Mus musculus: one gene and its partners. The protein of the gene in region 3 interacts with the protein of the main gene of each other region in a pairwise test. Links are inferred from orthologs where the notes say so. Each region holds a gene or a part of one and is shown on either strand. Other genes may lie near its edges.

Evidence for each region. The genes of interacting proteins can lie anywhere in the genome.
Region 1: the proteins of Tk1 (region 3) and Tubb2a interact in a two-hybrid assay, tested with the Homo sapiens proteins (2 studies listed by BioGRID and IntAct). The link is inferred for Mus musculus from reciprocal best matches to the Homo sapiens genes TK1 and TUBB2A.
Region 2: the proteins of Tk1 (region 3) and Ptprk interact in a two-hybrid assay, tested with the Homo sapiens proteins (2 studies listed by BioGRID and IntAct). The link is inferred for Mus musculus from reciprocal best matches to the Homo sapiens genes TK1 and PTPRK.

Annotation. Positions count from the first base shown.
Region 1 is NC_000079.6:34,075,208-34,079,290, forward strand, and holds the start of Tubb2a (tubulin beta-2A chain), read right to left. Parts: upstream 2,802-4,083; 5' UTR 2,723-2,801; coding exon 2,666-2,722; intron 1,451-2,665; coding exon 1,342-1,450; intron 1,082-1,341; coding exon 971-1,081; intron 322-970; coding exon 1-321. UniProt on the Homo sapiens protein: Tubulin is the major constituent of microtubules, a cylinder consisting of laterally associated linear protofilaments composed of alpha- and beta-tubulin heterodimers.
Region 2 is NC_000076.6:28,073,374-28,077,620, reverse strand, and holds the start of Ptprk (receptor-type tyrosine-protein phosphatase kappa isoform 2 precursor), read right to left. Parts: upstream 2,802-4,247; 5' UTR 2,541-2,801; coding exon 2,444-2,540; intron 1-2,443. UniProt on the Homo sapiens protein: Regulation of processes involving cell contact and adhesion such as growth control, tumor invasion, and metastasis. Negative regulator of EGFR signaling pathway. Forms complexes with beta-catenin and gamma-catenin/plakoglobin.
Region 3 is NC_000077.6:117,823,207-117,827,343, reverse strand, and holds the start of Tk1 (thymidine kinase, cytosolic), read left to right. Parts: upstream 1-1,329; 5' UTR 1,330-1,337; coding exon of another isoform or gene 1,338-1,394; 5' UTR 1,395-1,495; coding exon of another isoform or gene 1,496-1,564; coding exon 1,565-1,630; exon of another isoform or gene 1,631-1,711; coding exon 1,712-1,743; exon of another isoform or gene 1,744-1,841; intron 1,842-2,042; exon of another isoform or gene 2,043-2,132; intron 2,133-2,562; coding exon 2,563-2,673; intron 2,674-4,137. UniProt on the Homo sapiens protein: Cell-cycle-regulated enzyme of importance in nucleotide metabolism. Catalyzes the first enzymatic step in the salvage pathway converting thymidine into thymidine monophosphate.

The sequences.
Region 1 (4,083 bases), on a different chromosome or scaffold from region 3:
AGGTTTCATCTGTGTTCTCTACCAGCTGGTGCACTGAGAGGGTGGCATTATAGGGCTCCACCACAGTATCAGAGACCTTGGGTGAGGGCATGACGCTGAAGGTGTTCATGATGCGGTCTGGGTACTCCTCTCTGATCTTGCTGATGAGCAGGGTCCCCATGCCTGAGCCAGTGCCTCCCCCCAGTGAGTGGGTCAGCTGGAAACCCTGGAGACAGTCACAGCTTTCAGACTCCTTCCTCACCACATCTAGGACAGAGTCCACCAGCTCGGCCCCCTCTGTGTAGTGGCCTTTTGCCCAGTTATTTCCTGCACCACTCTGGCCTGAAAGAGAAAAAGAGAATATTAGACAGTTAGGAATCCAGGGAGGTGTCCTTGGACTGTAGAGGAAATGGTAGAAGTGGCCTTAGAGAACATTCAGTAGTCTTTTAGATATACTTTTATGAGAAAGAAATATTGTCAGTGTATCCAGGGACCTCAAAAACCTTGAGGATCATAATAAAGAAAGAATCAAGGAAGAGGACACATTTTAACAATACTCAGTAGCTTCTAAACTTAAGCACAGAGAGCATTCTGTAAATACCCTTAATTAGGTATAATTAAAGAGGCAGGGAAGGCAGCTGTAAGCATTTGGGCTTCACCTTGGTCACTGAAGTGGTTGCCTGGCATCAGAAGCCCTTTGAAATCCCCTGCAGCCTGTAATGCCCTCTTTGAAGGCTTTCATCCCCTCCTCCCCTGCCCCCAGACACTGTTCCTCACAGAGGCCTTGCACAGCCTCTACCAGGCCCACACTCTCCTCTGAGCTGTCAAGAGTGACCACAGACATGATCTTGTCAGCTGCCTAGGTTAGGCCAGGACTTGTGGTCTGTGGGACACAGGCTCAGCTGGATGCTGCACACAGAACTGTAAAGCCCACGGCTGCTAGGAAGGGAGTGAGTCATCTGGCCAGCTCTCATGGAGCATCACAACATACCGAACACAAAGTTGTCTGGCCTGAAGATCTGGCCGAATGGTCCCGACCTCACTGAGTCCATGGTGCCCGGCTCCAGGTCCACTAGGATGGCCCGAGGTACATATTTGTTGCCTGTGGGGACAAGAGCTGACTTACAATTGGGCTTGAGAAAGGAGATGAATGTGGCAAAAGAATTCATTGCAGAAATCCCAGCATTGAGACAAAGGAGGAAAAAGAAAATGGAGACACAAAGCATGCAGAGGTCTTCAGGAATTATGAAGTGCTTTTTTAAAAAAAATGAATATGCAAAAAAACCATTTCCTTGTCTGCATGCTGGTAGGCTGCTTTCTCTGTCACGGTATGGAAAGCGAGACTGACATCCAAACTCTTACCAGCAGCTTCATTGTAGTACACATTGATCCTCTCCAGCTGCAAGTCACTGTCGCCATGGTAACTGCCAGTGGGGTCGATGCCATGCTCATCGCTTATCACCTCCCAAAACTGAAATGAAGACAATCCCACATCATGCTTAGAATCTCTCTGTCACCAGAAAGACAGCAGGGCAAGAGCCTAGTGGGCTGCGGGCCTCCATGTATTTGGGCAGCAGCTGCTGCTGCAGAGGGTCTTGGGAATGCGCAGTGCATCGGCCATATTATGACCACAGATGCAGGGCTGGGAGGAGCCTGGAGAAGGAAGTGGGCACAGCGGATCTCGCAGAACTGCAGAGGCAGCTGCTTTCTATCACTCCAGGCAAGGCTGAATGTTACACATACAGGCTGATGGATGGGAAAGGCAGAAGGGAAAATCAGGTGCCCCGCCCCCTGTGCCTCCAGGGATCAATGGCTGCTGGCACAGACTCCATGACAGCTTTCAACAGCCCAGTTTTATACCACTGACCTACATATTGGCTTCGGGTATTGACCCTGGCTAGGAATGTTCGGGGATGGGCAGTACAATCCTGAGAGGGCGTCTGGCAGCCCCGGGAAAAAGCTGGCCATCCTCAGGATGTAACCTCCATTGTGACTTGGCAGCAGGAAAGGGAGTGGGGAGGTTGGGTGGGCAATATGGCGGTGTTGAAAGAGACCATGTCCTTGTGCAGGCACCCGCCCACACCCATGTTAAATACCCATTGCTGTCTCCCCACTGCCGTCGGGTCTCACAGCCCCCATTCCAAGCAGTCTTGCAGAGAAAAAAGAGGACCATAATGTTTTATGTCACATCTAAACGAGCCCTTGTAAGAGAATTTGTCTAACACCCTCGTCTGTTGGCCCAAAGACACGCCTCTGTAACATCTGTCAACCCAATGACACTGCATTTTTTTCATTCAAATGACAGAAATATATATATATATATGAATTACATTTGACATGAGATTTTTTTCAATACATGTAGTGACCCCCCCAACCCAAATTTCAGACACGAAAAAAACCCAGACTAATGTCAGCTGCACCCCGCAGAAGGGCTGTGTCCCAAAGCAATGTAATGGACCTTAATTTAAGACACCCTTGTCGCACCAATCCTGGCAAGTTGGTCGGCTTTCAGGACCCGGCCCGCCCAGTAGCCAGCGGTGGAATGCGACACCAGCCGGGGCTCTTCTGGATCCCCTAGGCTCGGCCTGCTTCCGCGACACCCCCCCCTACCCCTCTCCCCACGCAACCTTGGGACCCTGACCGGATGGGACTACCTCATCCATTTCTTCCCTAGGGGTGAGCCCACCTTAGCGCCGATCTGGTTGCCACACTGGCCCGCCTGGATGTGCACGATCTCGCGCATGGTGCTGGTTGTAGAAGGGGTGGAGGCTCTTGCCCTCGGAGCAGTGCGTGGACAGAGGGCTAAGGAGCGCAAAAGACCAGTCGCCCTCCCCCAGCACCGCCTTTTATACCCGGGGACCGCCCAGTCCCGCTGACGTCATGGGGGCAGAGCCGAGGGGCGGCGCGGCTGGGACTGCGGCACCGCGAGAGGGAGCCGGGGCGCGGTGCGAGGTGCGGGGCACCCGCCTGTATCCAGCCTCCTAGGGTTATTACGCCCCCCCAGCCGGTCCTGCTGGTTTCCCCTCAGTGTCCACCTGAGGTGTTTGTCTACTGTCGAGACCTTTAGGTTACACTCTGGTTCTGCTCCCACACTGCTCATTTCCCACCACTCTGGGGACTACAGATGGGGCTCCTGCCTCCCCAGTAGCAGGACAGGTGTGGCCTCGCTCTTGGATATGAAGCCCAGAACTGAAAATGCATCTCTACTAGATGTCCTTTCTGAAAAAGGGTGCCTGCATCCTGGGCAGGACTTGAACTGCAGCCCGGTTCTCTCTTTCAAGTCTGCTTGGTAACTAAGGGCGAGTAGAAAGCCAGACGTGATACCGCTTGGGAGGAAAGAGGGGAGGATCAAGTGAGGGTCTGGACTGTTTCAAGGACGACAAGGATGCTATACAGGTCGATTGCTAGGTATAGAGGAGGAAGAGTGACGTTTTTCTGGTCTGGACTCTTGGGTCCTAAAAGCCTCTTAAAAGTCGAAATTTCTGCTCTCAGACACGTGTTGGAGCGAGAGAGCAAGGGAGGGAAGTGGAGGTAGCTAATATAGTGAGTGTGAGTTGAGATGCTGGTCTGAGAGAGACACTGGTTTTCATGGGCTGGGTAAGTTAGCCAAAGAACCTCACTGACAAAAGGTCACAGTGATCACGTTTTGGACACAGTGCTTAAAATATATTTGTTAAATGACTCACTTGTTTTCACTTTTAAAAATGTGATAACCAGGAAAATATAAAAACACGGTTGCAGCCCACATTCAGGGCTCACATTTCCTTCTCTCGGCTAGTACTGTCTGTCCCACAAAAGGCATCAACACTACCCAGATTCCTCCCCTCAGAAAAGCAAGGTTTAAAACCTGACCAGCTACAAATTGAGGAAGCCCGAGAACCTGCAGTTTTTCTATTAGCAGAAACCCTAGGCTTGGCGCTAGGACTGGTCCACCAGGAGTTACTCTTCGTTGGTCTGGCACAGTGGAGGGGTAAACAGGAGCTTCCACCAGTTCCTCTCGGGAGCCAGTTTCTTCAAATACTAAATAATTATAGGTGCCGTGGAGCTGGCTTTGTGAACAGGAAATGAGAAGGTGTATATGAAAGCAGGTTGAGTTTATGGAGT
Region 2 (4,247 bases), on a different chromosome or scaffold from region 3:
TGTTAAATGTGTGACTGAGACACACACAGAGATCCAATGTATATATGACATACACACATTCCCAACTACACTATCCTCCCAAATGTGTAGTTATGTTTCCTACATTAACAGCCACAGAGTACTCCTGGAAAGTGGTGAACCACCCTTGGTGATCATGTTATAAAATGCATATATAGTAGGATGAAGTACTTTAGAATTTAGAAAATATGTCTCTTCAGCTCTTTAAAGCATGTTCATTTAAATGCCTCCAAAAGTTCCTCATTTAAAATAGAATAGTGGGAAGGGGGGAAGCAAGGAACAAAACAAAGCACTTCCAATTTCTTGTCCCTAGTCAATGCTTTTTTTTTTTTTTAACAAATATGCCATAGAGTTTAATGGCATTACAATACCAAATGATTTATGACAGCCAGAAGAAAAGAGATGTCTACAAAAACCAACTTTCAATCTCTGGAGAAAAACAGATAGGTGCGCAATCTGACTTTAAACTCAAGAGATAAAAGGCCTTCATTTGTGGGCAAACATAAGGATGAGAGCCAGATCTGTGGAGCCTGCATTCATTATAAACTCCCAGAAACAAATCTGCACAGTGTGATGAGGCACTCTCGGTACACAGTGATTAAATGATAAATAACATTTTTAAAGAGAAAAAATTCTCACATGTTGAAAATCTATCCATCAGCTGCTAAGACATCACTAGTCTCCAGTTCTAAATACATGTGTTTAATCATGTAACTGGTAAAGTTCAATTAACAAATAACATGCCTCCTCAAGCAAGGCTCTCCGTGAAGCGACAAGCACCGTGTAGAAATCAATACTCCCTCCAACTTGCTGCATATAATGAGTTACATCAAGCATGGTTCCAATACTAACAGCATTGTATGGCAGAGACACTCGGTAACGCGGAAACCAGAAAATTAAATTAAGTCGTCGGAATTCATTGCATAGAGCTGGTGCCTTCTGCACACCACCCCACACACGGTCTTTCCTTTGCCTGCTACCATTTCATAGTCTCTGCCTACGAGGAGGATACACTCAAGCTCCAGACTCCGAGGTCTAACTCCTAAAGGGGAGGGGGAAAGAAAAGCTAAGGGACGATTTGCTCCGGAAAACATCATGGTGAGTGTATTTCCAGGAAATCGAGCAGTCTCAACAATGAAACTATCAAGTACAAAGTAAGTTCTGTCTTCCCATCCTGCTGGTTCAGCCAGGAGCGCGGCTGTCGCGTTTCCCGTCACCCTCTGGCCACTCTGTGTTTCCACAAACACTGGGAACCAAGGCAGCAGCGGATGCGCCCTCCAACCTTGCTGGGCTGGGTGGGTTAACCAGAAAAGTTGTAAAGCCTTGTGGGAGGCAGAGGCTTAAACCTGGGAGCCCGCTCCCCAGCGTCCACCTGGTGAAACTTCAGAGCCGGCAGATACATAGAAGCCAGCGACCTACAGGCAGGATATCAAAACTGGACGGGAACAGAGACCACCAGTCTGAAAGACCCGGAATCCTGGGACTTATCTGAGCGGTTTTACTTAGAACTCAAAGGGATAGCCTGGAATATCGCATCACGTCTCACTCCTGGGTTGTCCAGGAGAACAGCGAACGTTCCCAGCCCAGGTCACCCAGGCGGACTCAGGGTGGTGTGGAGCCAGATTTGAGCTTTGTGGTGGCTTCGCCCCATAAATAGGGTAAGCCTTCCGGGAATGGGAGCCCAGAACTCGCTGCCCAGGACAGCTCTGAATCTACCCTTAGAGCTACATTTACAAACGTCGTACGGACTCTGCCAATGTATACATACAACGTGCTCCACGCTGTGTGCTCTGTAATCTATCCAGGAGCAACTCTGAACCCTCAGCAGAGGAGGAAGGAGCCTCCAGGAGGCACCGGGAAGTAGCTGGACAATAGTCAGAGGCGGTTATACCCGGGACAAAAAGCACCTGGCAGAACACACCGAGATCGGTCCCTATGTGTCTCCACAATTCTCACAAAGACTTCCCGGGGAAATTTTGAACAGTCTGGCGACAGAGAGCCACTAGCCAGCTCAGCGAGCCATAAAATCGTGGTCCCGGGAGCCCTAAGTACTTTTTCTTCCTCACTTCCCTAACTAATGCTGTGGACTGCTCCCGACTCCCAGGCAAAAAGAACACCCAGGAAAAGCAAGGTCGCCACACACTCCATCCAGCACACCCTGGGCTGTCTGCGCGCCGGACTAGCCTCAGAAACAATGGGTCGAGAACGTAAAAGTTACCTGCGCACGGGGGCGCACAGCTCTTGGCCCTGCGTCCCGCCTGACACAAACTCCCAGGACAGACCTAGCTCCAACCTGCACCACCACCACCCCCGCCACCTTAAGCGGACGCCCCCTGGATCCCCGAACCCAGCACCAGCAATCAGTCAGTCCTTCCTGCCTGAGTCCAAGACTGTGGACAGACACAGACCACCCCCAACCTCTCACCTGCTGAGAACTGGCCAAGGGCCGACCCCAGGAGAGGCCACGGGTACAGAAGCCAGAGAGCTACAAAAGCAGGCAACGCAGCGGCCGCCACATCCATGGCGAGTTTGGGAGAAGTTTCAAGCAGCTTTGCAAAGAGCCTCCGGGGGAATCGCGGTGAAATCCGCCAGCCAGCAGCCCGCCCGGCCTCGTCGGGGGGCTCGCGGAGACGCCGCGGCCACCCGCCAGCACTTTCGTCCTTGCGCAACGTCGGCCAACTACCTCGCGGGCGAAAGCGTCTCCAGCGTCGCCCGCCAGCCGCGGCCGCCGCTCTCCATGCTAGGCAGAGGCTGCTCAGGGTAGTCCAGAGTTAGTTTGCTCTGGGAGGGACGGGGGCGGAGCCTGGGGTGACGTCGCCCCGCGGGCTCCGGCAGCTTCGGAGGAATGCGGGCTCCGGTGCGCGCCGCCGCCACTGCCGCCTCCTGCTAGGGAGACGCGCGCCAGCCGGGCCGCGCGCCCCGCGCCCTGCGCCCCGCGCCGCCTTTGTTCGCCACCTGGGCTCGGTGGCCGCGCGGCTCTCTGGCGGCGAGCGGGAAAGGGGGACCTGGCGCAGCTCCCTGCCGGATCCCTGAGATTCAACTCTGAGAGGCAGAACTGTGGGCGGACGACGGAGGAGGCGCCCGAGGAGAGGTGTCCTGGGGTTCTGTCCCCAAGGTGGCGGTCCCACCAGAGCGGCTGGTGGTAGGAAGAAAAGGGAGCGTAGATGTGACCTTTAAAACGCCGACCTGCACTGAAATTTCACTCTTCCTTATTGATAGGATAAGGAATAAGGCTCCCTACCCCATTGAAAACTTACTCTCGTTTGTTCACGAAATAAATAAAACTTGGACCAAAATAAAATGTTGGGTAAGTTTCCAGTGTGAACAGCTGGCGTGCCTCGTTTCTGGTTTATTTGTCATTGGGAAGCTCCCAGCCGCTCAGCCTTCGCATAGCCTGGTGGAGTAGAGCAAGACTTGGTTTTGTTTTGATTTTTACTGTCTTGTAGCTATATAAGAAATAAGTATTTAATAAAAGGAGTTTATCCCAACAATGAGCACAGCATGGTTGCTCCGAAGGAACCCAATGCTGTGTGCTGTGTTACAGGCAGGAAGTCAGTTTTGCTACCTTAGCAGCTTGGTGTGATTTCTCCAAATGCCACCTTCACTTGCTTCTGTAGCAACGCTGTATAGTTGCTTACTTTTACTCATGTCTGCAAATTATGACACATGTAAGTATGACCAAAACTGAATAAGCCTAACTTTTTTTTTGAATTTTGATGCTATATATGCAACTGCTAATAATAGCCTTGATTGGCACCTGTCAGTCACTCAAAATGTCTTTAGCCTTTTAAAATCAAAATGAAGTGAAATTCAATTTAATACAGCATTCTCATCATTAACCGAGCCACATATTTCTGTAATTAATACATGCTGTTATGACTAGGTTTGGAATAGATGCAAGTGACTGTATACTACACACACACACATCTATGCACATATATTATACATATTGATGAAGAAGGGAGAAAATGGGTTTCTTTTTTATTTGCTGAGGATAGAAAGTCCGTTACGCTACAGCCTTGATGACTGCTCATTAGTACCTGTAACAAGCCCAACACTTGTCAATTCAGTTCAGCATAGTTCAGTCATCTCCCTCTGGGTACAATGTCAATGTTCCTTAGCTCATTAACCTATAACTTTAAGCACACTCTACCAAGGGTCCTTATTTCGTACACTAAAGAGCTTTATTAGATCACAGGTAACCAAAAACCTATTATTTTCTTTTCTGA
Region 3 (4,137 bases):
GATGCCCACACTTAACACAGAAAGCCAGGAGGACACAGGTTCCTAAGCCAACACAGGAATCCTGAAGACAGTGAGTGCGTCTTCACACTGAGGCCTGGGGCTGGGCACCTTTGGCTCTCTCCAGCTGTCTCTAGCCTTGCTCTTCTCGTTGATATAATGGGGGTGCTAGACGCCCACAGGGTTGGAAGGGAGGTGTGTAAGAGAAACAATGTAAGCCCCTTGCTCAAACACAGCTGCCTCTGCCTCTTCCTGTTGAATGTTCGTCTTACATGCTATAGACCCTTCTCGTTCCGGTTGGTACCTGCTGGATGCTAGGGGCCTGGCTAGGCATCATCTTTTTTTTTTTTGTCGTCTTTTTGTTTTCTCATCTCTTGTAACTGTGTAGCTGCCTCGAGGATCAAGTGCTGAGATTACTGACATGTGCCAAAAGTCTTTTTATTTCCTCTTTAAATGTGTGTGCCTGCAGTCCCTTCTGGAGCTGGACGCTGTGAGCTGTCTTGATGTGGGTGTTGGAAATCCTCAACTCTGCGCCTCCGGAGGAGCTGTGGATGCTCAACAGCCGAGCCATTTCTCTAGCCCTCTGCCTTCATTTTTACTATTAGGATTTATGATTGATTGTATTTTAAAGTTTATTTTTTGTGTAGTCCTGGCTGACCTGGAACTCACTCTGTAGACCCGGCTGGCCTTGAACTTAAGTCACCTGCCTGCCTCTGCCTGGAATTGAATGCTTGAGCCACCCCCGAGGACACATGTTCCTAACTTTCAACAGATTCTAAGTGATGTCTGTCTGTGACCAAAACAAAGAAGCCTGTTTAATACAAGCTAACCAGTCAAGAAATCCTAGTGGAATGGTAATTAACTACAGCAAGCGCCAAAATGTGTTGTCCTGCTTTGTGTATGCCTTTGGTAACCCTTGCCGCAACCAATGGCAGACAGAGTAACCAAACAAATTCCTGAGTGAGAAGGTTTCTGGGCATGCTCGGTGTGAGCCATAGGAGTTTTAGCATGGGAATTCTGAAGCCGCTCAATACAGTCTGTCCCTGAAGGTGCCTGCCTTACTTTGCGACTCACAGCAAGGACCCCCAGCCTTGGCACCTTCCAGACTGTAGTTACAGAAACACAGAATCACACTGCACAACCTCAGAGTAAGGTCCAAACCCTAAGCCCCTTAGTTCCTGCTGGAACTTGAGTTTTCGCTGTCTTTAAAACCAGGCTAACAAGCTAAACCTGCTCTATGACGAGAAAAATGAAGAAATCTGGCGCTCAACGCTTGGAAATTTGGCTTGTGGGCATCCTAAAATTCCAGTCCCGGCTCTGGGCGGCTGCACCACACCTACCTCCGAAGACAAGTTCCTCCAGGGATTCTGGCCCGCAGAAAGGGAAGGAAACGCCATGGCCAGATCCGGAGGGGATGGTCGAGCTCCAGGCTTTTCACGTAGCTGAGAGGTGGGACGAGTCTTGTCTTCGTCCCGCCCCCTTTTGAGTTCGCGGGCAAATGCGAGCAGTAAGTCGAAATTTTTCCACCCACGGACTCTCGGTGCTAACTAAGGTTTGCACAGCAGCCATGAGCTACATCAATCTGCCCACCGTGCTGCCCAGCTCCCCCAGCAAGACTCGGGGGCAGATTCAGGTGCGGGGTCTGGAGTGGGGTCGGGTGGTGGCTGGTGCGGGGTGTACAAGGGGGAGACCCCTTAAATGACTTCTCTTCTAGGTGATTCTCGGGCCCATGTTCTCAGGGAAAAGGTAATGAATGGGCCTTCGGGGCGGTGGGCCTCCCTCTCTCTCTGCAGCCTCTCTCTCTGCAGGCCCTGGCTCTCCTCTCCCCCCTCCCCCATCTTCCCAGGAGCCTCTGACTAGGCGGCAAACGCGCTCGACCTCTGTGTGTACATTCCCGCCCAAAATTCGATTTCCTGGATTGCTGCCATCCTCCTGCCCAAGCCTTTTCTCTTGGGGAACCCTATCTTTGCTGAGGCGGACCACATGGGGGTACAATTGAAGACCCCAGCCCACATTACCCAGGAGCCCACCGAACTCTCATGTGTCCCCTGGGAGTTAGGCACCTTCTCTGACAGTTTCCTCATTCATTCCCCATGCGAGCTCTCCTAAAGCCTTGGAGCCCAATTAACTCTGAGGTGAGGGTCTAAACTCTGGGAGTCCCACCCAGAATAACAAACACACACTACTTGGGTTTTCTTTGCTTTATCTTGGGGTTAGTTTTTGTTTTTTTTTTTTTAACTCAGCGTCTTTATTTGTGGCCCAACTCAGAGATCCGCTTGCCTCTGCTGGGGTGCATCACCATACCAGGCACCTCATTATTTCTGAATGGTCTGGTGTCACCTCAATTTGTCCCTTGCCCCGAGGGTGAGGGCCAAACTCATGATCTGGGATCCAGAAGCAAGCTCTCTGGTGATTCTGTCAAAGACTTTGAAGTTCATTCATGAAAATTGAATTTTGTTCAGAACAGCATGGGGTGAACGGCTGCAGTTCCGGCTGCCCGACGCTAGGTGGTAGTGGCAGCCCGCCTTTTGCTCGGGCCTCATGTGCTCTGGTTAATTCTTGCAGCACAGAGCTGATGAGAAGAGTCCGGCGCTTCCAGATCGCCCAGTACAAGTGCCTGGTCATCAAGTATGCCAAAGACACGCGCTATAGCAACAGCTTCTCCACACATGATCGGTCAGTCCTACCCCTGAGCCTGCCCTTCGGAAACCCCTAAGCCTCGGGGCACACTGCTGCTAGCCTCTAGTGGATATGAATAAGTGCTCAAAACTTACTTAGAATAACCTGTCCCCAAGTGTCCATTGTACCCACGGAGGCTGGGAGAACCTGGGTCCCACTTGGGTAGAGGCTGCAGCCCTCTTGACTCCAGAGATATTTCCCCCCCTCTTTAGTTGGCTCTCTGCCATTAGGTAGCCGTCATCATTCTGAATTGTCTATCTATCAGCCCTTCCACTGGACATTTCCCTCTGAGCCCAAGGGTAGGTAGGAGTTCAAGAAAGTAATTTGTGCCTCTCGGGGTTGCTGGAGCTGGGCCAAGGGTGAGCAGCCTGGGGTAGAGCAGGTTTCTGAAGCGGAGCAGGAAGTGGAGCCGAGAACTACCAGGACTTGGGAGTTGGCCTGGGGATTCAAGCCAGGCTTCCTGCCAGACTCTGTACTGAGGTCTTTACAACTGTCTTTGTAACCACGGTGCCAGCGCTCAGGACGGGATGTGCATCCAGGAGGACCGAAATCAGAGGAGGCAACAGTGCCTAGAGTGGTGGCCACAGCTGGCTTGTTGCCTGTCCTCTCTCTGGTCCCCTCTACCAGGGGAGGGAAGAGAGAATTTAAGATGCCCGAGTGTTGTGTTGTGTTCTTTAGTTGGTTTCTTTTATTTTTTTCTGAGACAGGGTTTCTCTGTGTCGCCCTGGCTGTCCTGGAACTCACTTTGTAGACCATGCTGGCCTTGAACTCAGAAATCCTCCTGCCTCTGCCTCCCAAGTGCTAGGATTAAAGGCGTGCACCACCATGCCCAGCTTTGGTTGGTTTCTTAGGGAGGTGTGTGTTTGCACACAGGTAACCATACACCCGCGTTCAGAGGACAGCCTCGGGTTATAAGATCTGTGTTCCACACTCATTGGCCATATCTTTTTTTTGTTTTGTTTTGTTTTGAGACAGGAACTCTCTACAGACCTCTGGTTGCCCTGGAATTCACTCTGTAGACCAGGTTGACCTTGAACTCACAGAGATCCAACTGTGCCTGCCAAACGCTGGGATCAATGACATGTCCCACCACACCTGGCTCAGTATGCTCTCAAAGCAAGCCCTTTACACATTCAGACATCTCCATCCTGTTTTTGATTTGTTTAGGGTTTTTGCATGTAGATCTGCACGCTACTTGCTTGTCTGGTACCCTGGGAGGTCAGAAAAGAGCATCCGATTCCCTGGAACAGGAATTATAGATAATTGTCAGCTGCCATGTGGTTCCTGGGGGTAGAACCTAGGTCCTCTGCAAGAATGACAAATGATCTCTCAACCCATTTACTGAGGCAGGTCTCAGGTAGCATAGGTGGGTTATAACTTGTAACCCTCCCTCCTCTTCCTCCTGGAATTACAGGCTAGCAATCCCACACCCAGCCCACAACTCCTTCAGATCTATGTAAA